4 linked regions of the Callithrix jacchus genome follow. The protein of the gene in region 2 interacts with the protein of the main gene of each other region in a pairwise test. Links are inferred from orthologs where the notes say so. Each region holds a gene or a part of one and is shown on either strand. Other genes may lie near its edges. The genes, in order: ATXN1, ZXDC, POGZ and WDR5.

Evidence for each region.
Region 1: the proteins of ZXDC (region 2) and ATXN1 interact in binary tests that used the Homo sapiens proteins (3 or more experiments, as listed by UniProt). The link is inferred for Callithrix jacchus from reciprocal best matches to the Homo sapiens genes ZXDC and ATXN1.
Region 3: the proteins of ZXDC (region 2) and POGZ interact in binary tests that used the Homo sapiens proteins (3 or more experiments, as listed by UniProt). The link is inferred for Callithrix jacchus from reciprocal best matches to the Homo sapiens genes ZXDC and POGZ.
Region 4: the proteins of ZXDC (region 2) and WDR5 interact in binary tests that used the Homo sapiens proteins (3 or more experiments, as listed by UniProt). The link is inferred for Callithrix jacchus from reciprocal best matches to the Homo sapiens genes ZXDC and WDR5.

The regions. Positions count from the first base shown.
Region 1 is NC_133505.1:13,912,639-13,918,184, reverse strand, and holds the start of ATXN1 (ataxin-1), read right to left. Parts: upstream 3,148-5,546; 5' UTR 2,967-3,147; intron 2,539-2,966; coding exon of another isoform or gene 1,725-2,538; intron 1-1,724. Other genes in the region: uncharacterized protein LOC128931873, read right to left, coding at 1,725-2,538. UniProt on the Homo sapiens protein: Chromatin-binding factor that repress Notch signaling in the absence of Notch intracellular domain by acting as a CBF1 corepressor. Binds to the HEY promoter and might assist, along with NCOR2, RBPJ-mediated repression. Binds RNA in vitro.
Region 2 is NC_133516.1:76,883,626-76,888,475, reverse strand, and holds part of ZXDC (zinc finger protein ZXDC), read right to left. Parts: intron 1,407-4,850; coding exon 1,225-1,406; intron 1-1,224. UniProt on the Homo sapiens protein: Cooperates with CIITA to promote transcription of MHC class I and MHC class II genes.
Region 3 is NC_133519.1:11,336,503-11,341,352, forward strand, and holds part of POGZ (pogo transposable element with ZNF domain), read right to left. Parts: intron 940-4,850; coding exon 764-939; intron 1-763. UniProt on the Homo sapiens protein: Plays a role in mitotic cell cycle progression and is involved in kinetochore assembly and mitotic sister chromatid cohesion.
Region 4 is NC_133502.1:182,702,223-182,707,665, reverse strand, and holds the start of WDR5 (WD repeat-containing protein 5), read right to left. Parts: upstream 3,715-5,443; 5' UTR 3,589-3,714; intron 3,250-3,588; 5' UTR 3,131-3,249; exon of another isoform or gene 2,933-3,130; intron 1-2,932.

The sequences.
Region 1 (5,546 bases), on a different chromosome or scaffold from region 2:
TTGCTTTAGTAAGCTCTGAAAGGTTTCTAACAAGTACCAAATACTTGTTGATCTGCTCACAATAAACACCAGCAGGATTGTCAGGCTCCTTTCACTGTATGGGGAGACGCATTTACATACTGCACCTAGGAAGAACAGCTTGTTGGTCTCCTTTATAAAAGTTGAGTAGCTAGAAGCCTCCTTCAGTGTCTCCCATCCAAATGACTGAAAGAAGATGCAATTGAAATAGTGGAGTCTTTCGTCTAGCTTGGGCAGCATAAATGCTGTGCATAAAACATTTGGAGTAGTTCAGGCACAAGACAAACCCACCTGAATGGACGAGGAACACTGTCTGTTGCCATGGCAGCCTGATCTAATTACATGAGTGATCAGGGCTGGAGTAAGTGCACTGAAAACCTACACCACTGACAGCCAGCCAGGAGGTTCAAGGGAGCCCTTCAACCTCTGCTTTATGTAGAAGATGGCATTCAAGTCCATTTATTTGCAGAGCTGCTAAAATATTGACTGATGCATGCACAGCGAGAGGGCAATCAGAGGAGATTAAGTGCCACAGCATTAGCCGTTATGGTGCAATCCCTTTCCAAGAGTTCCTGTGCAGGATTTTCTCTTCTCTCTGGTGGTTTCCTCAGGCATAAGCTTCATTCCAAAAAAAAAAAAAAAGCCTAAGTATCAAACTACCTTTACCCACCAAATAAACCGAAGGGTGGGCTTAACGGGGGCTTCTAGGAACTGCAGCCTCCTAAAAAACCCAAACGGAAATGTCTTAGCTAACACTGTTGAAAAAGTAGCTATGCCTAAAAATAACCACCAAGTAACTACCCACTGCTGTGTGCAATATATAACGACAATGTTTAAATATTAAAAACAGCCTGCATTATAAAACGCAAATGTCATTGAGATGTGCACTACTAGATTGCCAAAGGAGAACTTATTTGCATACACACATTCCTGTGCATGCACGAATGTGCAGGCAGAAAGCCACTGTAAGGCACCAGTTTTTATTCTGTGGGTGTAATAGGGTCTTCTAATTTTGCTAATTGTATCCTGTGGATCTCACAGGGAAGCTCAGAATCTCTTCGGGGACAGAACCAGTTTGGAGGAGTCCCTACTGCACAGCATACGGTAAACAAAATAAAAATAGCTTGCCTTTCTTGTTAGCCACATCGCGCATTATATAACCAGCTTCTTCCGACTGGCTTTTTTTTTTTTTTTTTTTTTTTTTTTTTTTTGCCCTTACTACTCTTCAGCAATTTCCCAATCTTCTCAAGTATTTACATTACCTTTTTATCTGTAGGATAATACCAAGAAAGCAAAACAAAACAGACCAGCCACCGGCTCGAACCGAACCCCTGCCGTCCTTAGAAACTGATCTTTTTGTTTTGTTTTGTTTTCTGGCAGAGTCTGGATCACCACCCTACTTCCACCCCCCGCTAAGGTTCTTGCTCAATCTCCCTAGAAAACCTGAATTGTTTCACCGCTTCCAGTCAGCCCCCTACGTGGTTTGAAATAAAATGAAAGCACAGCCTCGGAGTTCAAGAAGGCAGCCTGAAGGCGGGGGGCTGAGAAGGGGTCGGGCGATGCAGAGTCAGCCAAGTGGCCGAGGAGGGGCCCCCTCCGCATCACGACAGCCCTCGCCCCCCGCCCGGCGCGCACGCACACACACATATACACATTCACACTCACTCACACACTCACTCACACGCCGCGCTCCGACACCGCCTCACCTCTCGCTCCGCCCGTCCGGCCCCCTTCCCTGCCCCCTGCGGGACCGGCCTGAGCGCAGCGCTGGAACCACGTAGGAGGCGGCGGCGGCGGCGGCCCCGGCCCCGGGAGTGGCAGAGTCTTCGGCCCGGCCCAGAGTGAACGAGCAGCGGGGCTCCAGGGCGCATCCCAATCCCCGCAGCGCCTCCTCCTCCTCCTCCGCCGCCGCCTCCTCCTCCTTCCCCTCCTCCTGGCTTCATTCACCCTCCCAGCAGCCGCGCAGCCGTTCACTCCCGGCTCCGGGCAGCGCCTGCCGCGGCTCCTCGGTTCCTGCCGCGGGCGCTGGCAGGGGCGCCGGCCCGGACTGGGGCGCTCGCGGGCTCGCGGCTCCGGGCGGCGGCGGCCGCTGCACAGGATCAGGAAGCGGCCGCACCAACAGGGCGGCGGTGGCGGCGGCAGCCAGGGCCGCCACCGCCACTCCAGCCGCGCTCCAGGCACCCGCACACCCGCTACCCCCGCGGGGTCCCCGAGGCCACCCCTCCGCGCCCCCCGCCTGGCACCCGGCCGAGCGCAAAGTCCCGGCCCCTTGGCTGGAGCAGTCCCTTCCCAGCCCACAGCCGTACAGCCGGCGAGGCCGGCCACGGAGGGAAGACCCTCGCCCAGGGGCGCCGAGGCCGGGCGTCCACCCGCGGGGAAGTGCAGCCCTCCCCGAGACCCCCCCTCTCTCACCGCCCTCTCCGGAGAGGAGGAATGGGAAGAGGGCGGCCGGGAAAGGGACCAGCCCCCCACCCCGGCCGCCGCCGCCTCCCCCTGCGCCACCCGGAGGGAGGAGGACATGGCTCTCGGCACTCGCGACCGGACCAGCAGTCTCCAGAGCGGGGCGCCGCCGCCGCTCTCCCTGCCCGCGCCCCCCGCCCGGGCGCGCCCCCTAGCCCGGCGGGCGCCCACCCGGCCCCTGACAGCCCCCCCGAACGGCCGCCCCTGCGCCCAGAGTGGGGGTGTCGGCCTGGGAGCCTGGAACCGGGGACGGTTGTATGTACACACACACGCACGCACACACACACACAACACGACGCGTCGATTCCCTTCGCTCCTCTTCCAGCTGTTTTCCGTGCAGCCGATTGGGGTTTTAGGGTTTGTTTGCTGGTTGTTGCTTTTGCCCCTCTCGGGAGATAGGGAGAGGAGGGATTTTAATCTAAATAAGGGGAGAAGGGGATGGGGGAGGGGGGAAAAGAATCAGAGGAGGAAAAAAAATAGCCACTTACTGTAAAGTGTAAATGGATCTGGGGTTGCGTGGGGAAGGGGGGCAGAGGGAGAGAAACAATGTCTGGCGGCTGCTCTTGCTCTGGCTGCTGCTCCCCGGGGCTTGTTTTGGATCCCCCTGCAGTGAAACAGGTCCTGTACGGCTCCGCCACTGTAGTAGAAATGATGTCTGCGGTATACTCTGCTCTCTCCTCCTCCTCCTCCTCCTCCTCCTCCTCCTCCCCCTCCTCCCGCTTCCCTCCCCTCCCTCCTCCCTCCGCCCTCCCTCCCTCGCGCTCTCTCGCGCTCGCTCGCTCGCTCGCTCGCTCCAGTATGTAAATGTGTAATAGAAGCCAAATATGGAGCAGTTGGCTGCCGCCGCCGCAGCTCAAGGATCCGACTTCATGGGGGTGGGGGGCACCCTCTGGCGGGCGGCCCGGCGAGCAGCACCGAGCCCTGAGCGCACCGCGCGGCGGCTGGCCCGCGCCCTTAACCCTTCGCGGCGCGCGGCCCGGGGAGGCGGGCACCTTTCCCCAAGAGTGGCTCGGGACGGGCCGCGGGGGAGGGGAGGAGCGGGGTGGAGGGCAAGGTTCCTTCCAGGTTTGGGAAGGGGGCGGGGAGCTGCGCGATGAGGTAATTGGAGCGGTGACCGGTCGGTCCTCGAGCGCCTCCCTGGGTCCCTGCACCTAGTTGGAGGGGACCGAGCGACCGCGGGGCGCTGCTCAGGCAACCTGGGGGACTCCCCCAAGGGGTGTCAGGCTTCAGCTGGCAGCCAATGAAACACCCCAGGGGGGAGGGGAGGTCGGCGGGTTCTAATCCCAACGTGCCCTGGGTCCCCGGCGCCCCGAGCCGCGTCTAAAAGGGCTCCCTCCGATCATCAGCTGCACGTTATTTAACCCGCAAACCGGCGTCGCTGCGGCGTTCGGGAACCCAGGCCCGGGGGCCTCGGGGATTGCCTCTGCGTGCAACTCCGCAAAGTTTCCCGGGCCCCCCGACTGCACAGGCGCCCTCACCTTCGCTGCCTGAGAACGCCCGGCCGTGCCCTCGCTCTCTCCGCAGGTCCGGAAATCGGCTTCGATCTGGAGCTACTTACTCCGCTCTAGCCTGGAAAGGAGACCCGCGCACTCCTCTCGCAGCTAATTTGGGATCATTAATTTAATCGGAAATGAGGTAACCAGTGTAAGAGACAGAGAAAGCCACCGGAGCATCAAATGGCAGCTCTCGGGAATCGATGAAGAACTTGAGTCTGGACTCTGTGTTTTAGTGCGGTCCGCGACTCCCACCACCCCGCCCGCCCCTCCGCCTGTCCCGCCGCCAGGTGTGACCTCCACGCGAAGGAATCTTCGTCGGCTGGGCTAACATTGCCAACAGGTGTGGCACCTGGAGGACTGGGAGGTGCCTCCAGACTACGGGCGCTCAGCGTGGCGTTTTTGCTGCAGATGATTCTGGAAGGCCAGTAGGTGTCGGGCAACATTTGACCTCCTTCAGGTGCTTAGAACTAGGTGTCTGGAAACATGACCCCTTCGCGTAAGTTTCTTTCTGAAAGCCACCGCTCTTGACTGTAAGCTGTATTTGAGAGACCTTTTGGCTGAGTTTACTTATGACCTAACGGTTAGTCACCCACTGAGGCAGGGCAGAGAATGATCAAAACATGTGTCAGGTTTTACACAACTCTGGCCTGCAAGAGCCTACGTGCTCCTGAAATAATAAACGTACGAGCGAGGAAAGTGCAGAGCCCCGGAAATATTTTTTCTCACATTTTTGATATGCCGTGCACATGTAAGTGGCTATTTAAATGTAACTACTACTGTTCACTCTTACTCATTTCTACAACTCCCCCCCCCATTTAAAAATCGATGATTGTTACAGTTTGAAACCTCGGGTTAGTCTAAAGTGACATTGTTGGTCTCCTTACAGCCTCTAGTGGACAGTTAACATCAGTTTCCTGAAAAGGCTCTGATAGGTTTTGTTTTGTCAAGGTGAAGGTTAGCGCGTCAGAGCATAACTGGGTAAAATATCCCACACCCCTATCCTCACCCCCGCCCCCAACCCCCTACTTGACAAAGTCGACTTCAGAAAGAAGCAGAAGCTTGTTGGCTTTGTATATAGGAGATGCTGCCGGTATTATTACTGGACTTTTCATGTCAGTTTCAGACAGCTTCCATAAAAACTAAACTCATCTCAAATATTTTTATAACAGAAAATATTGGTTGCCATGTTTTTGGCTTAACTGCGATGTTTTTATTCCAACTCATAATCTGCAAACTGTCCAATCCACCTCCACTCTATTTTTAGACATCTTACATTTAGATAATTTTCCGTTAAAAAAGCTAATATTGTAATTATTATGTTGGCACAACCAGTTAATTTACATGATTTTAGCAACCTTAAAACACATAATTCAGATTAGAGTTAGCCAATTAATTTAAATGTTCTCTCAAGGAAGCTAAATATGTATATTACCCAAATGGTAAAAACAATTAATAAGAAATGTGTCATTTACTTTCTTAGCCATTGAGATTAAAGCCATAAACTGCCACCAAAGCTGTAACTATTTCTTCCTGCAAGATCCAGCATAAACACCATACTCGTGAAACAGTCTC
Region 2 (4,850 bases):
AAAAGTATACCCCCTACCTGCTCCTCTTCTGCCAGTGGTGCCAGCTTCCCTACCATCTCCCCATTGGCAAGCCTCTGGTCCTGCCTCTGCACCTCTGCCCTGCCAGCTGAGGCAGTGTGCCCTTAGACAGTCCTCCCCTCCACTGCCCCTGCTCCTGGGGGATTTTTACCTCTTCACAAGCTGGAGAGAAAGGATCAGTGCTCCTGCTCATCTCTAAAGCAAGCTTCAGCCCCCACCTGATGCTCACTGCTAGCTTCTGACCAGCACAGGGCCACACCCAGCTGCCTGCAGCCTCCTTCCTCCCCCTTCCCAGTCCTCCCCTGCCCAGGCCACCCCTCCTCTCGCCTCTCTGAGCCCTAGCCCTGGTCCTGTTTCCTTGGCGGAAGTCTCTCCTAGGACTACAAACCCACAAATCCATGAGCGTGCCTGTTTCCCAACTCAGCTAGCGTCAGCTCTGCCCTCCGCACTTCTGCGGGGCCTGTGACCACATCCCCTGCCACAGAAAAACTACAGAGTGGAGTGGTGAAGAGGGGCACACACCTGGGCCAAACCTAGACAGCCCCAGCTTATAAATCTCTTCTCTCCTCAAATCTTTCCAAATCACCTTCCCTCCCCATTCTGGCCCCTCAAACTGAAACTCAGGATGCAGGTGGGCTCAGAGGTGCTGAAGCGGGTGTGCTCAAAGATTTGCAAACTGGACACAGCCGCAGGTATCTGTGGCCTGGACATGTTGGGAGGGGCATGTGCCTGCCCTGGAGGGCCTCAGTTTAGTAGGAAAGAAAACAGAACCACTGCAAAGACCTGGACTACCTTCAAGTATAGAAAGGCTGCTAGTGCACCACAGGCAGGCCACCCTAGAGATGGGGTGGCTGAGGCGGCCTGTGGAGCCCCTTTGCCCCAGCCCTGCAGAAGGGCAGGGTGGCCTCAAACAGATCTCATCCTGCTGTAAAATACCGAGGCCTGGGGGCCTTGGGTGGGGAGATGAGCTGCCCTGGGGCTAGACGCAGGGCCATGCACAGACAGGGTCAGAAGTGGATACGCAATCCCAGCAACACTCAGAGCTTGAGCAGATGCAGCAGGAGAGGCTGGGAAAACGGGAGGAGTTGAACTGTAAGGAGACAGGCCCTGGGGCGGGCAGGGGACGCGGCATGCCACATGCTTCTCAGACCTGCGTGACCCTCCCACCCAGCCTGCAGCTGGCCCGTGTGGCTCGCCAGTTCTCACCTGCACCAGCTGGACCTGGATGCCCTGCGCCCCGCAATGCACCCCAGCTGCTGGAGTTGGTCCTGGCCGTCCTCCACTGGGCACCACGAGGCTCCCACACAACCAACTGCTCTGGCTTTCGTGGAAATGGGGAGGACTCATTTTGCCTTCTTTTATTTTTCTCTGAGTAGACTGTGAGGCTCCTAAAATGAAATATAAAAACCAGCACACCCAATCTATAATCTACCAGTCAGGCCCGCCCTCACTGAGGTCTCACTATGGGGAAGACAGCCTCCCCATTAACTGTCATTCTGCATAGCCAAGAGACTTAAAATCACTGATCAGGAAAAATCACGAGTCAAGATGTTAGAAGAAAAAACCATACAAACAAAAACCGCCAGGATTTTGATTTTTAACATGTAAAAACATCACACATATTTTTTTGCCAGATGGTATCAGACCTAAGCTGCACATTCTTGGAAAGCAGAGACTTCCTTATCCTCTAACTCCAACAGCTCCTGGCCAGCAGGAGATCCTGAGCACAACTGAGGACAGCCCAGGGCCCAGAGCCACAGCATCGTAGAACAGGAAGGAAGCAGGAGGTCTCCACATCCCACCTGCTAGTGGACTGCTGCCTCTGTCCAGCTCCTTCTCAAGTCACTACTCCACTGGCTTTACAAATATATGCTTCTTAAAAAAATGATGTAAAGTGCAAAGAAAAAAGGAAAAATCTTAACACCCAGAACAACTGGAAAGCTGCTTCAGGAAGGCCTGGAGGTAGCCTAGAGTACGCGCTGCAGAGACCTGAGCCAGGCTCACCCTGACCCGCCACCCACTCTGCTCCAGGGATCTGGATAAGGAACTCAAGCTCTGGGGCTCAGCATCCTCTGCCTGTAAAATGGGAATGCTAGTCCCAGCCTTGGAAGGTTTTGGAGAGGATTTCATAGTAAATATGTGATTGAAACTTAGAATAGTGCCTGGCTCTTGGTGAGTGCCAAGGAGCTTAGAGGTGCTGTCACTGCTCTGTCCACACATCCCTGCCTGGACACACAGCTATGAATGGCTTCAAAAAAACAACTGTACAATGACTATCATACAAGTCATTCCTAATAAAACATTAAATTGGGTGACTGCTATCCAAGGCAGGCTGTTTTTATGAGGCTGTTTGACCAGAAGGTTCTGAGCAACACCAGGGGTGAGAGCTTGCTTGCCCTGCATACACTACAGCTGCCTCCCTCAAGCGCTCACTTTGCTCCAGATCCCTTCCTGTCTTCTGCAGTGCCCTGGGTCCTGAGAGCTTCACACTCGGCAGGCAAGCCAACTGGGTGCACAAACCTTGGGTCCCCTGCACTCATGCACAGCCTGCTGTCCCTTCCAGGTGCCTCAGGGCTCTTTCTCGTTGAAGCGCAACTACTAACCAGGAGGGAATGGGGAACACAGATTCAGTTCCCCCTCGCTGCAGGGAGATGCACTTCCATTACAAAATACTTCTTTCTGTTCATCCATCAGGTTCTATGCTCCAGAAAACCCAGCAACCCTTGCTCTGGATTATCTCTGACTGTTCTCCACACCTAGTTTCTCTTTTTTAAATTGCTCTATTTGCTTCAGACAGGAGAACAGGGCTGGGTGTGGGGAAAAGAGGCACCTATGGCACAAAACTTAACTCACCTCTTCTTGAGGAAACTTCACATCAGTTCCTAGTACTGCAGTCTATTAAGTCTGCAGCAGCATTATGTCTAAAAAAAATGCACACCTTAATTTAAAAATACTTTATGGCTAACAAATGCCAACAGAGACATGAAGTTAGAACATGCTGCTAGAAAAATGGCACCAACAGATTTGCTGGATGCAGGGTTGCTACAAACCTTCAGTTTGTAAAAAGCACAATAAAGCCAACTGCAAAAAAATGAGGTGTTCCTATATCCTCCGTGAGCTTGTATACTATCCCACTCACCTCCAGAATTTTACCTGAATGCTTTTATGCTTTGAAGTCTTTTATCACCCTAGCATATAAAAATATGTACATAAGGAGGCTGAGGCAGAATTGCCTGAACCCAGGAGGCAGAGGTTGCGGTGAGCCGAGATCACGCCACTGCACTCCAGCCTGGGTAACGAGTGAAACTCCATCTCAAGGAAAAAAAAAAAAGTACATAAACAAATTTTATTTAACTTCTAGGCATTAAAATTTTTGGTTTGAATTGTTATAACTGCAAGTATATATATTGATGCAAAATATATCAAAACAAACTAAATCAGAAACTTTGAGAGATAATTATGATATTAAAAGCAAACATATTGAAAATGCTTTTCAAGAGGAATGGGACTGACTGGTGGTTTTCTTGCCCAGTTAGTTCATGCATCTGTGTCTAAATATTACTTCTTGCTAGAATTAGACATAGCATCTATTCCTGTCAATTAAAGACTCTTTAAAATCAAATGCTCATGTGTCATTACAACTTTGCAGCTGCAGGCTGAACTCATTCAAGTTAGGGGGAACTGTCTGCCCGCGAAGCCCAGCAGCAGGGCCGGTGCTGCAGGCAGAACAGTCGTCACATTAGGCCTGCTTTCTAATAAAAGGCCTGACTTCATTTTTATATTCAGATAAAAATACTGAAACATGTCATTAGGAATATTAGGAAAACTACTGTAGAATAAACTGAGGAAGGCATCGAATAGTGTATCTTTCCAGATTACTTTTAAAAGCAGGCAAGATTTAAATGATGTATATCAAATATTTATTATCAAGTTGTAACATAATCAAGATAAATCTGAGCCATTTATCATGATTCAATGCCAAACATGTAGGCCATGGTCTACGTTACCTATGAAGCAAGAGATATGACCGAATCCTAATATTCCTTTGCAAAATGTGTGCTAGCATGTGCCACTGGAATCATGGGAAAATTCAGAATTGTGCGCAAAATTGGAAATAATTCCACTAATGTTGCTAGACACCATGATTACCTTCCCTTTATACTTAAACCAGTTAGTAACAAAAATGATTCTATCTTTATTAATATATTTTAATGGCATTACTTTTACAACAGGAAACAAGACAGACTCTAACTAGACTATCTCTTGACAAGCTAAATTAGCTTCAACTTCTGTATTAGCATACAACATGAAAAAATCACAGCAGTTTCTCTCTTCAAATCCACACGTTTAATTCAGTGTCGTAAGTAGTCCTGCAAACACCACCACTAATTTGTACTGTTTTAGCATCAGAAGGTATTTTTCTTCCCAGCTAACAAGTCATCTGGGGATAAAAAGTCAATAGCTGAAAAGAACCGCACATGCTTATACAAACATAGGGCTCTTTCCTTAAAAGTAATGCATTCTTTGACAACAGTAGAGGGCTGGCAAAGGTGAGGACTCTCAACAAGAGATGTCCATCCATGCCCCATGGCCCCTCCGCGATGTACGTCAAGCAGAACATCTCAGCATCCACCCCTAGATAACTCTGCACAGGAAGGGGGAGCTGATGAGGCCACCTCATGAAAGTTTTGATGTCGGTATTACTCTGCAGGATGCTTCCCTGAAACCAGTATTGGGACCTGGCCCCGGGTTTGGTGCTCTGGAAGGATATCCTGTTTCTGTGTGCACTCCAATGCAACACACCATGGTAAAAGTCTGTTGGATAGCTATAG
Region 3 (4,850 bases), on a different chromosome or scaffold from region 2:
GCTTTGGTACACATGAGCAAAAATGAAAACCTATTTCCTGACTTAAGAGAGCATCAGGTTTAAAAAAAACCTCATCAACAGACTGGCTCCCTAAAGTGCTAAATGAATACAAGGGGGAGGGTGGGGTGCGGGGTGTTGGGGGGAGAAGAACAGTGTTCACTGGAGTGAGTCAACATACAAACAATCCTAAGATATTGTTCCCAAAGTCTGCTTCGAAGACCATAAACCTTTGGCAAATTCAAAAGCATTTATAACTCAGGAAGACACAGGCAAAGAAATGCATTTGCCTTTAGAATCCATATTCAAAATTAGACTTTGAACTTCAATTCGATACATTATATATCAAATAAGTCATCTTCCCTGTCTTCCAAAGGTCTCCATGAACTCCACCAATGACATATATACATCTCCAAAAGTTAACTAATTCATCCCATGTGAAGTGGAGCAGTCCATGCAAAGGGTGAAAAGTCTCGAGAGCCAAGGGTTAAGGCTTCCTAATCCAAGCTTTCCCACTAATTTCTGCCTAGACTTTAATCAAATTTCTTAATAAACTTCTAAGGGGTTTAAAGAGGATATTACCCAACCATGCTATACCAGGCATTCCACAGTCAGCATCAAATTACAGAACGGTAAATGAGAAAGTAAGGTCAAAAGACAAGACTTAGAACTACTACTAATGGTGCTAAAGACCCTAAGTCAGAGCTTTCAGAGGTTCATATTCTTTCTCTCCTCTAGAAACCTTGAAATTCAGAGTCCTACTCACCTGCGTAGTGATAAATATTGGTTGTGAAGCCACAGGGGAACTAGTCACATGATTGGCATTCTGCATGACCTGAACAGGTCTCAATACTGGTTGAGTAACCATTGTGCCCAGACCTGGGGCTGGATTCTGGGTCAGGATGAGCGGCTGTCCACCTTGCTGGACCAGAGGGTTGCCAGCTAAAAGGTTAAGCGGGGGGAAAAAAAAGGAACGTTAAAAACAATGAATGTTAAACCTACATTTTATTTTATTTATTTGAGACAGGATATCGCTCTGTCACCCAGGCTGGAGTGCAGTGGCACAGTCATGGGTCCCTGCAGCCTCAACTTCCTGGGCTTGAGCCATATTTCCACCTCAGCCTCCCAAGTACAAATCCACATTTTGTAAGAAACAGAAATGATGTCCCAGACGCCAAAATATCCAAGACTGACACTCACCATGTTTAATGTGACCAAACTCGCCAAAAATTTAAGCTTCACCCAAATCTACAACTAACAGAAAAACAGATGGGTAGGGGAGGTTCACTAACATTTCACCCATATGTCTTAACTGGGGATGAAAGACACATTAGAATTCTATGTGACTATCACCTTGACTCTCATGATTTAAGGTGACCACACATAATCTCCCCCACCAAATCAGCACAGAACAAAATATGTTAAGTCTTTTTCCATATTTTAACTAGGTAAAACCTATTTTATTAGAATATAATTTGTTAGCTAATCCCCCTTAATTCTTTAAAAACAATATTCATCAACAAACATTAATTCAGCAAGTACACAGAATCTGAAGAATGGTTTCTCTTCCTAGTAAGTTAAATCTGAGAAATGCAAGATTCTTTAAGCAACCACTGTCTTTTAGAAGGGGACCCAGAGACTGACAGGCTACCTACCACCTTTCTCTGCATGTCATCAGGGCTGATAAACAGAAGACCCAGACAAAAACTAACCCACACCAAGTAAAAATGACATGATTTCAGAAGATAATCATTCATTCATGAATAAAAATATGAATAAACAGGGCTATTACTGAAATATCTTCAACTCTTCATTTGTGAGAAAATAATTTCATAAATATTTTTAAGTCCCCTATTTCATGACATTTGGTGAAAACAAAAATCAACACTAAGTTTCCTGATATACAAAGAATACTCAAAACCAGATAGAGAATTTCAGAGAGCCAATATACCTAGGCGAAAGAGTCAAGCAGGCTAGGCACAGTGGCTCACACCTGTAATCCCAGCATTTGGGAGAGTGAGGCAGGTGAATCACTTGGGGCCAGGAGTTCAAGACCAGCCTGGCCAACATGACAAAACCCCGTCTCTGCTAAAAATACAAAAATTAGCTGAGCATGATGGTGCATACCTGTAATTCCAGCTACTTGGGAAGTTGAGGCAGAATTGCTTGAACCAGGGAGGTGGAGGTTGCAGTGAGCCAAGATTGTGCCACTGCACTCCAGCCCGGGAAACAGAGCAAGACTCTGTCTCAAAAAACAAAAAACCAAAGAGTTAAGCAAAATATTGTCTCAACTTTTTACCCAAAATCACCAGAATAGGACAGGCCCCTCTGAAATGTACATTCCACTTGGCAGGTCCATCACCACAGTTAACTACAAAGCTACACCACCAAAGGAATAGGTATGTAGGTGGCTACTAATGGGCCAGCAGTGGCTCATCTCACACTCTCTCAGAAACTGAGAGCTCATCAGTAGACTAGACCCTCAGTTACTGAGCCAGAAGACTAGTGATTGTAGAGGCAGCTAGACAAATAAAACAGAGAATTCCAGCAAGTTCTATCCATGTTAAATTATACTGGCAATGTATTGATGGTGGGTTTTTAAAATCTTTTAAATGCTTTATTATGGAGAAGTTAAAACATACAAAGAAACAGAACACTACGGTGAACCCCTCCCTATACACCACCCTGCTTCGTTAATTATTAACGCACGGCAAGTCTTAGTTCATCTATACCTCCTATACATGTACTAGTTCCCATATTACTTTAAAACGAGTTCTAGATCATATCATCTACAAATATTTCAAAATGTACCTCCTACATAAGGATTTCAAAAAAAGATAAAGAATCATACCAACATAACTCCCGAACATTTAATATCAAATACCCAGTCAAAATTCAAATTTACTTATTTGCATTTTTTAAAGCGTTTGTCTGAATCCAGTTACAAAATGTTGGCAAAGTGCAATGGATGAACAACACTCAAGTCTTTTAATCCACAGGTTCCCCAACCATCTCTTTCTATCCTTTTGAAATTTATAGTTGAAAAACATTGACTAAGCAGAAGTCTGGATTTTCTAGTCATTGTTTTAACTGCTAGGACAAAAGAAAATAAATTATCTCGTTTATCCTAATCCTAAAAAACATTTAGATAATTCCCGGCTATCATATCCAGTTTGGGAAGATAAAAAAAAAAAAGATAATTCCTGGCTCAACATCCCAATTAAATACAAGAAGGGAAAGATGGAGGTTTTTTGCATTTATGTGAAATCAATCAGCATTCCCAAGTCTCTTACAGACAGACCAGGTTTCCATGAAACCCATAAATACCATTATAAAAAATGTTAACAGCATTTTCTCCAAATATTTTCCCTTATATCAGGGTCAAGTCTAAATTCTGGTGGAATGTTAGAATTTTTCCAAAAATATGGGACAAAGAAAATAGTGGTTTTCAAAGACCAGATTAGATTCACGATTCAATGGAAAGCAAAAGCCAGACTATGGAAAGTCACACTGGGTAAATTATACCTGCTTATTTAGAAGCATTTTAAATAATTTCTGCAATCTTTTAAACCTTAGCTCAAAGGAATTCTGACAATTCAAGTGTCTTACAAGGTTCTCTTTCCAGAGGATGAAAAGGCAATTAGAATTCTGGTACTTTAAAAAAAAGCCTTTAAAAGGATTATCCAGCCTGGAGCAGTGGTAGGCACCAGTAGTCCCAGCTATTCAAGAGGCTGAAGCAGGAGGATCACTTGGGCCCAGGAGTTTGAGTCCAACCTGGGCAACACAGTGAGACCCCAACACAAAAACAAAACAAGGCTCACGTCTATAATATCAGCACTTTGGGAGGCTGAGGCAGGCGGATCACTTGAGGTTGAAACCAGCCTGGCCAACATGGTGAAAGCTCACCTCCACTAAAAATACAAAAGTTAGCTGGGCATGGTGGCACATGCCTGTAACCCCAGCTATTTGGGTGACTGAGGCACAACAATCATTCAAATCCAGGCAGCGGAGGCTGCAGTGAGCCAAGATCCTGCTACTGCACTCCAGCCTGGGCAGCAGTGTGAGAAAGACTCAAAATAAAAAACAAAAAACAGCCAGGTGTGGTGATGTGTGCCTGTAGTTCCAGCTACTTGGGGGCCTGAGGCGGGAGGATCGTTTGAGCTTGGGAGGTGGAGGATACAGTGAGCCAGCCATGTTCGTGCCACTACTACACTCCTGCCTGGGTAAGAGAGTGAGACCCTATCTCAAACAAAGCAAAGCAAACCCAACAAACAAACAAACAAACAAATGAAACAAAACAACCCACCTCATTGAAAATGAATTCCATGAGTTTTCTTCTGCTCTTCAGACATCATATAGCACCGAGCACATTATGAATTTAAGAACAACAAATCAAGGAAGTATGCAACTAAGTTTCTCCCTCTAAGTTATTTTGATTGATTTTTTTTTCCTTCTTTTTTTTATTTCCAGATGGAGTTCTGCGCTGTCACCCAAGCTGGAGTGCGATGGCATGATCTCGGTCCACTGCAACCTCCACCTCCCAGATTCAAGTGATTCTCCTACCTCAGCCTCCCAAGTAGCTGGGATTACAGGCACCTTGCCACCATGCCTGGCTAATTTTTTTAGTAGAGACGGGGTTTCACTATTTGGCCAGGCTGGTCTCGAACTTCTCACTTCAGGTGATCCACCTACTTCGGCTTCCCGAAGTGCTGGGATTTTAGGCAGGAGCCACTAAGCCCGACCTTCCTTCGTTCTTTATGTTTACTTACACACCCTTAAAGCCCAGAAATAGAGGGCTAAATAAAATAGGAATTGAAAACCGTAATCAGTTACATTGCAAGAAATGTGTAACA
Region 4 (5,443 bases), on a different chromosome or scaffold from region 2:
ATGGATTTTCAGGAAAAAGGATTTAAAGGAAAACATTTGACTACCAATTGAGCCCTGTAGCAAACAAACCATTCCAAATTGAGAACCCTATTAATTACCCAAAGTCCTTGCTAATACTTTCTAGCTGCTCTGCTGAGACACCTGCTCTCGTCACTTTTGTAATCATCAAAGACCCCACCCTTAAGGGTGCTTCCTATTTTGTTGTCCAGAAGTCTGTAGGAATGCAGCAGTTTGTGCAAACAAAATGCAATTTTCTTCAAAGAGCCCTGGACACGGCTGGGCGTGATGGTTCATGCCTATAATCCCAGCACTTTGGGAGGCTGAGGCAGGAGAATCACAAGGTCAGGAGCTTGAGACCAGCCTGGCCAATAAGGTGAAACCCCGACTCTAGTAAAAATACAAAAAAAAAAAATTAGCCAGATGTGGTGGCACGTGCCTGTAATCCCAGGAGGCTGAGATAGGAGAATTACTTGAACCGGGAGGTGGAGGTGCGGTGGGCTGAGATCGCGCCATTGCACTCCAGCCTGGGCAATAAGAGTGAACTGTCTCAAAAAAAAAAAATAAAATAAAGCCCTGTACATATTATAAAAAGAACAGCAAAAGGTTTCCTGACAGTAAGCTAACATGCCAAATGACAGAAGATGGCTTCAGGGTGCAGAAGTTTGGGAGCACAGCCAAATCCTAAAATGCACCCACTGATGCAATCACATTCACAGCCAAGCTTGAAGGCACCCAGCGGTCTGCGCCTCAAGGGTGGGCTCCGGTGCCTCCATGCACAGGCTGCAGGCACCAAGCTGCCTTCCAGAATGCTAACAGCTCACAGGCCTCGCCCCCAGTGAGGAGCTACAAAACTCAGCAAAGAGAGCAGAGCGAGCCAGAGCCAGCTCTGCCTGCTGGAATTCCCACAACCTGCCTTCTGGAAAAGCAGCCTCAAGTACACCAGGGATATTCTACGAGCAAGACCAACATGCAAGGGAATGAAAAAAGACTGTTTCAGCTTGACAATAAAATTTACCCAAAATCTCTCTAGTAAGCAGCTAGTTTCCTCCATCTCGAGAATAGATCCATTACTTGAATACGTCTCATAAAAGCACAACAGGTTATTCTGAAAGGAGGCACAGCATCACTAAAAAAGCAAGCCACTGAGACATGCTTGCAAATACCACTGGCCATCAGAATTCTGGAAGCTAGCACCACCATCCATCTAACGAGTTTACACACTGTACGTTCTAGTTTGCAGCTTGAAACCGAAATCTTGCAAGGCTGCTTGTAACATTAAGGTGAAACGGAAGGCATCAAAAAGAGTCTCAAAGTCTTGATGCAAGAGGAAGGCAGAGAAACTACAACACCCACTTTCCAGAAAACAGGTGTGGCCACAGATCCATTTCGCCTGCAGCAAAGATTCCCTTCGAAAGGATGGATCACGATGCATCTAAAGCCTGAGCATCACACACTCTCACACACACACATACACACACACACACACACACACACACACACACACACGAGTGGGGAAGGGGAGGGGCAGGCCCTGTAGAGCTGCCCAGAGTACAAAGTGCCAGTACAAAGCCAGTCCTCGGTAAATGCCGGCTACATGGTGCTTGTCATAAGTGCAACCTGGCCATGGCAATTTAACCCAACTGCTGCCTTCTCCCTGGCACGCTGGACAAGTACAAGGAGAGGGAGGAGCTACGGAAATCCAAGCAAAAAGCTGCAAAGTCCACTGCAAAGGTCCTAGCCGGAGACAGCCAAGTCAGGGCAAGAGCTGAGTGAAGTGTGGCCGTTCCCTACCCAAGTGAAACACCAGAGGAACAGAAGGCAGAACCGGCAGCTCAGAGGGCCGAGCAGCTCCAGTCAGCTGTCTACTCACCTAGGTGAGTCCAGATGCCTGAAACACCCTCAGGCAAGGCGCAGCAGACTGGCGGTCTTACAAAAGGAGCTCAACCCCTCCCAGCTCAGGCCCACCCACCCCACCCTTTGGGCTCTAAAAACATTAACAAGTAAAAGAAACAAAGAAACAAAAAAAACCCTTAACTTTAACATGCCTTTTAAGAATAGAGTTTCTTGACACTACACACCCACCAATTTCTACCTCAGTGGTGGGGTCTAGGCTTGAAATTTTCTTTTTTTTTTTTTTTTTTGGGTCGAGGCTGGAGTGCAGTGGCAAGATCTTGGCTCATTACAACCTCCGCCTCCGGAGTTCAAGCGATTTTCATGCTCAGCCTCCAGAGAAGCTGGGATTACAGGCGAGCACCACCATACCCGGCTAATTTTTTGCATTTTTAGTAAAGACGGGTTTTGCCATGTTGCCCAGGCTGATCTCGAAGTCCTGAGCTCAGCAATCTGCCTGCCTCAGCCTCCCCAAGTGCTGGATTACAGGTGTGAGCCACCACACCCAGCCCAAAGCTTGGCATTTTCATAAACACCCAGGAGTTTCTGTGAAGAATCACTTTAAGGGAACAGGAAGGTTGGCGACTTGATGCTGAAAAAGTGGGGGCCAAGAAGGTTCCATGCACGGTGATGAGGAGTTGACCGCCCCCGCCCAGGTGCGGCCTGGCTCCTCCTAGCAGCTGCTGCTTTTCATCCAGGTAAGCCTGACCACCTGAAGCCCAGCAACTAAAGCTCAGTATGCTCTCCTGGGCTGGATGCCACTGGCGGATTCCGGAGTCCCTCAGTCCCCAAGGTGGAGCCCAGGAATCGGCCTGCGGCATGCTGTCCAAGAGAGCATGCTGCGTGCAGACCGGAATGAATGTGCATCCCAAACAGCAGCCAGGTGGCCGGCCCGACAGCGGTGGGAACCCGGCGCTGCGCATCTCAGGTCCTGGACGGGCTCCCGGCCTGGGTCCTTCGCTTACCCATCTGTCTTCCCCACCGGCTAGCACCGCACCTGCCCAGGTCACAGCGTAAGCATTTGGGAGATAGGAAAACAGACCTGGGTAGCTGGAAACTTGCCTGCGAGACAGCAGGGAGGGTCGTTAGCGGGAAGTAACAGCCCAACCTCCGTCTAGTCCGGGAACGTAACCGCTCAAGATGGCTCTCGCAGACCGGCCAGGACTGGTCTGCGGCCCCGCGCGAGGAGGAGCGGGGGACCCTCCGTTCAGGAGCGAGGACCCGAACCCCAGGACCCCACCTAGCGAGGTGCAGCCTGGCTGCCTCCGGTTGGAGTGAGCGGCGGGAGCGGGCTGGGGCGTTTCTACGAAGGGAAGCGCCACGTCCGGGGACTGACTGGCTCGTGGGTCTGGTCCTTCCCTGGAGATGGAGGAAGAGGAGCGATGTGAGGCCGGGCGCGCCGCCGAGGGAGAGGCCCCAGTACCGGCGCTCGGGCCTTGTCAGCGGCCCGCCAGGGAATCGGAGGTGGGAGCGCCGGTGGGGGCGGGCGGGGTGCAGGGGCCTGCGCGCGCGGCCGTCCACCGAGGAGCCCGTGAGGGGGTCCCGGGCGGGGCCGCCGCAGTGGGGGTAGCGCCGGGGGCTGGGCCTGGCCGGAGGCCCGGCAAGGAACACGTGCGGCGGCCGGGGACGATGTGAGGGCTTCTGGCGCCGTCCCACTCCCCGCCTCGTGCCCCCCGGGCCGGGCGGCTGCCCACTTACCTGTCGGGCCGCGGCGGCGGGGCCGGGCGCTCGGGACGTCGCGTCGGCCGCCTCCTGGGCGGGAGCGCGGACTCTGCGCGACAAGGCGGCAGCTCCGGCGGGCGCCAGGCGGCGGGGGCGCAGTGCGCGTGCGCGAGGGGAGGGGGCGTTGTCCAAAGGCGGGGCGAGCGCACAAAGCCCGCCTCTCGGAGAAGCGCTACGGGCCGCGGCTGCGGCCAGAATGCCTCGGGCAGGCCCAACGCTTTAAAGGAACCGCGCCGGGAGCACGCTTCCCGCTTTAAAGCTTTAATCCCGAATTCAGCTGCCGCAGGCCCTTCTAATGCACTTCCTAAAAATGGAAGTATAATAATACATACAGGAAAGTGCTAGTGTGCTCTCGCGTTTCCAAGACTGAGTACGCCCTGCACACTGGGACCAGAGGCCCTCCGGGACCCGCGCAGGTGGCGTCGCCTGGCGTTGTCCCCGGAATCGAGGCGGACCGGGGCACCTCCCCGGGCGACCAGGCCCCTTCTGGATCATCGCCGGTACGGATGACAGCGGCAGTGGGCGTTTGGAAAGCACTTGGGGCCGCGCCCGGGCGCAGTGCCCCCCATGTGGCCGCCTACCCTGGGCGGGCAGGACGACTCCGGCCCATTTAGAAGCCCCAGAGCCTGCGCGTTCACTGAGCTCGGAAGCCCGGGCTGCGCCTCCCCGCGGGGCCGGCTGCTCTTCCCGCCTCTGCTGGCACAGAGCCAGCGGTGCGCGCACCTGCTCCTCCCCAGCCCCGCGGACTGGGAGAGCCGCGTTGGAGACACCCGCGCCCGCTCCGCAGTGCGCAAACTCACTTTGCACAGGGCTCTCTGGGGCCAACCCTTTCCTCCTGGGCGGGTATTTTCACCTACGGGTACAAGGGGGTGGTCCCCAGAGGAGGACCCCGGGGCCTAGAAGGTGAGGCCCGGTCGTCTAGCCCTGACTACTGTGCATTCTCGCCTCCTGCTTCACTTCTTAGAGCCTTGGAGGTAGGTACGGCCTCCCTACCCGCTCAACTAGGCCTGTGGGAAGAATAACATGCAGTCACTTATTCTCCAATTTAAAATGGGAACACAGAATATGACACAGGAACCCGTGCAAACAAAGGGACAGAGCATTTGAAATAAAAATGTCCGGGGAGAGTGAGGTGTGCGCTTGTCAGAAAGGCTGAACCGAAAGACTGGCAGATGGTCTGGAATCCCCTTCCCAGGAAGGACACAGAAGGGAAGGTTCCTGTGTGGTCCGGCAGGGCTGCGTGTGGATCTGTGTGCCCAAAAGGCCTGGTCCCTTGGGCCAGGTGCCCTGGAGCATGGAACAGTGACTGTCACAGGTTAGCAAACCAAGCTCGGATGAAGGCCATCTCCATTCCGTCCACCTGGCTGCCTGGGCCAGAATCCCCGCCCATCACCTGCTGTTCTCCCCCACACTGCTTCAGATCTCAGATCCATCTACTTCTCCCCACCCCTCCCCACCCTAGCTCCCACCTGGCTCTTTTCCAAACCTCCAGACAGAGAAACTCCTAAAATTCCAGCTCTCATCCGTCAACTCCCCAGTTTAAAACTCAGAACCAGCTTCCCCCTGCCCTAAATTCCCTAATTCCCACTGCCCAATGCTGCTAAAGTGTTTACCAGACCCCGCCTCCTCTTCCAAATTAGCACCGCCTCCCAAACTGCAGCCCTGGTTCCAGCCCCAAAGCAAAAGTATTTCCAGTCCTTCAGCCCTCCGGGCAGAGCAAAATAAGGGACTGGCTCACAGAAGCCTCAGAACTCAAACCAGGTTCCCAGCCACCCCACCCTCAGGAGATAGAGCCTTCTAGTAAAAATGAGAAACTCCTCTAACCCTGTTC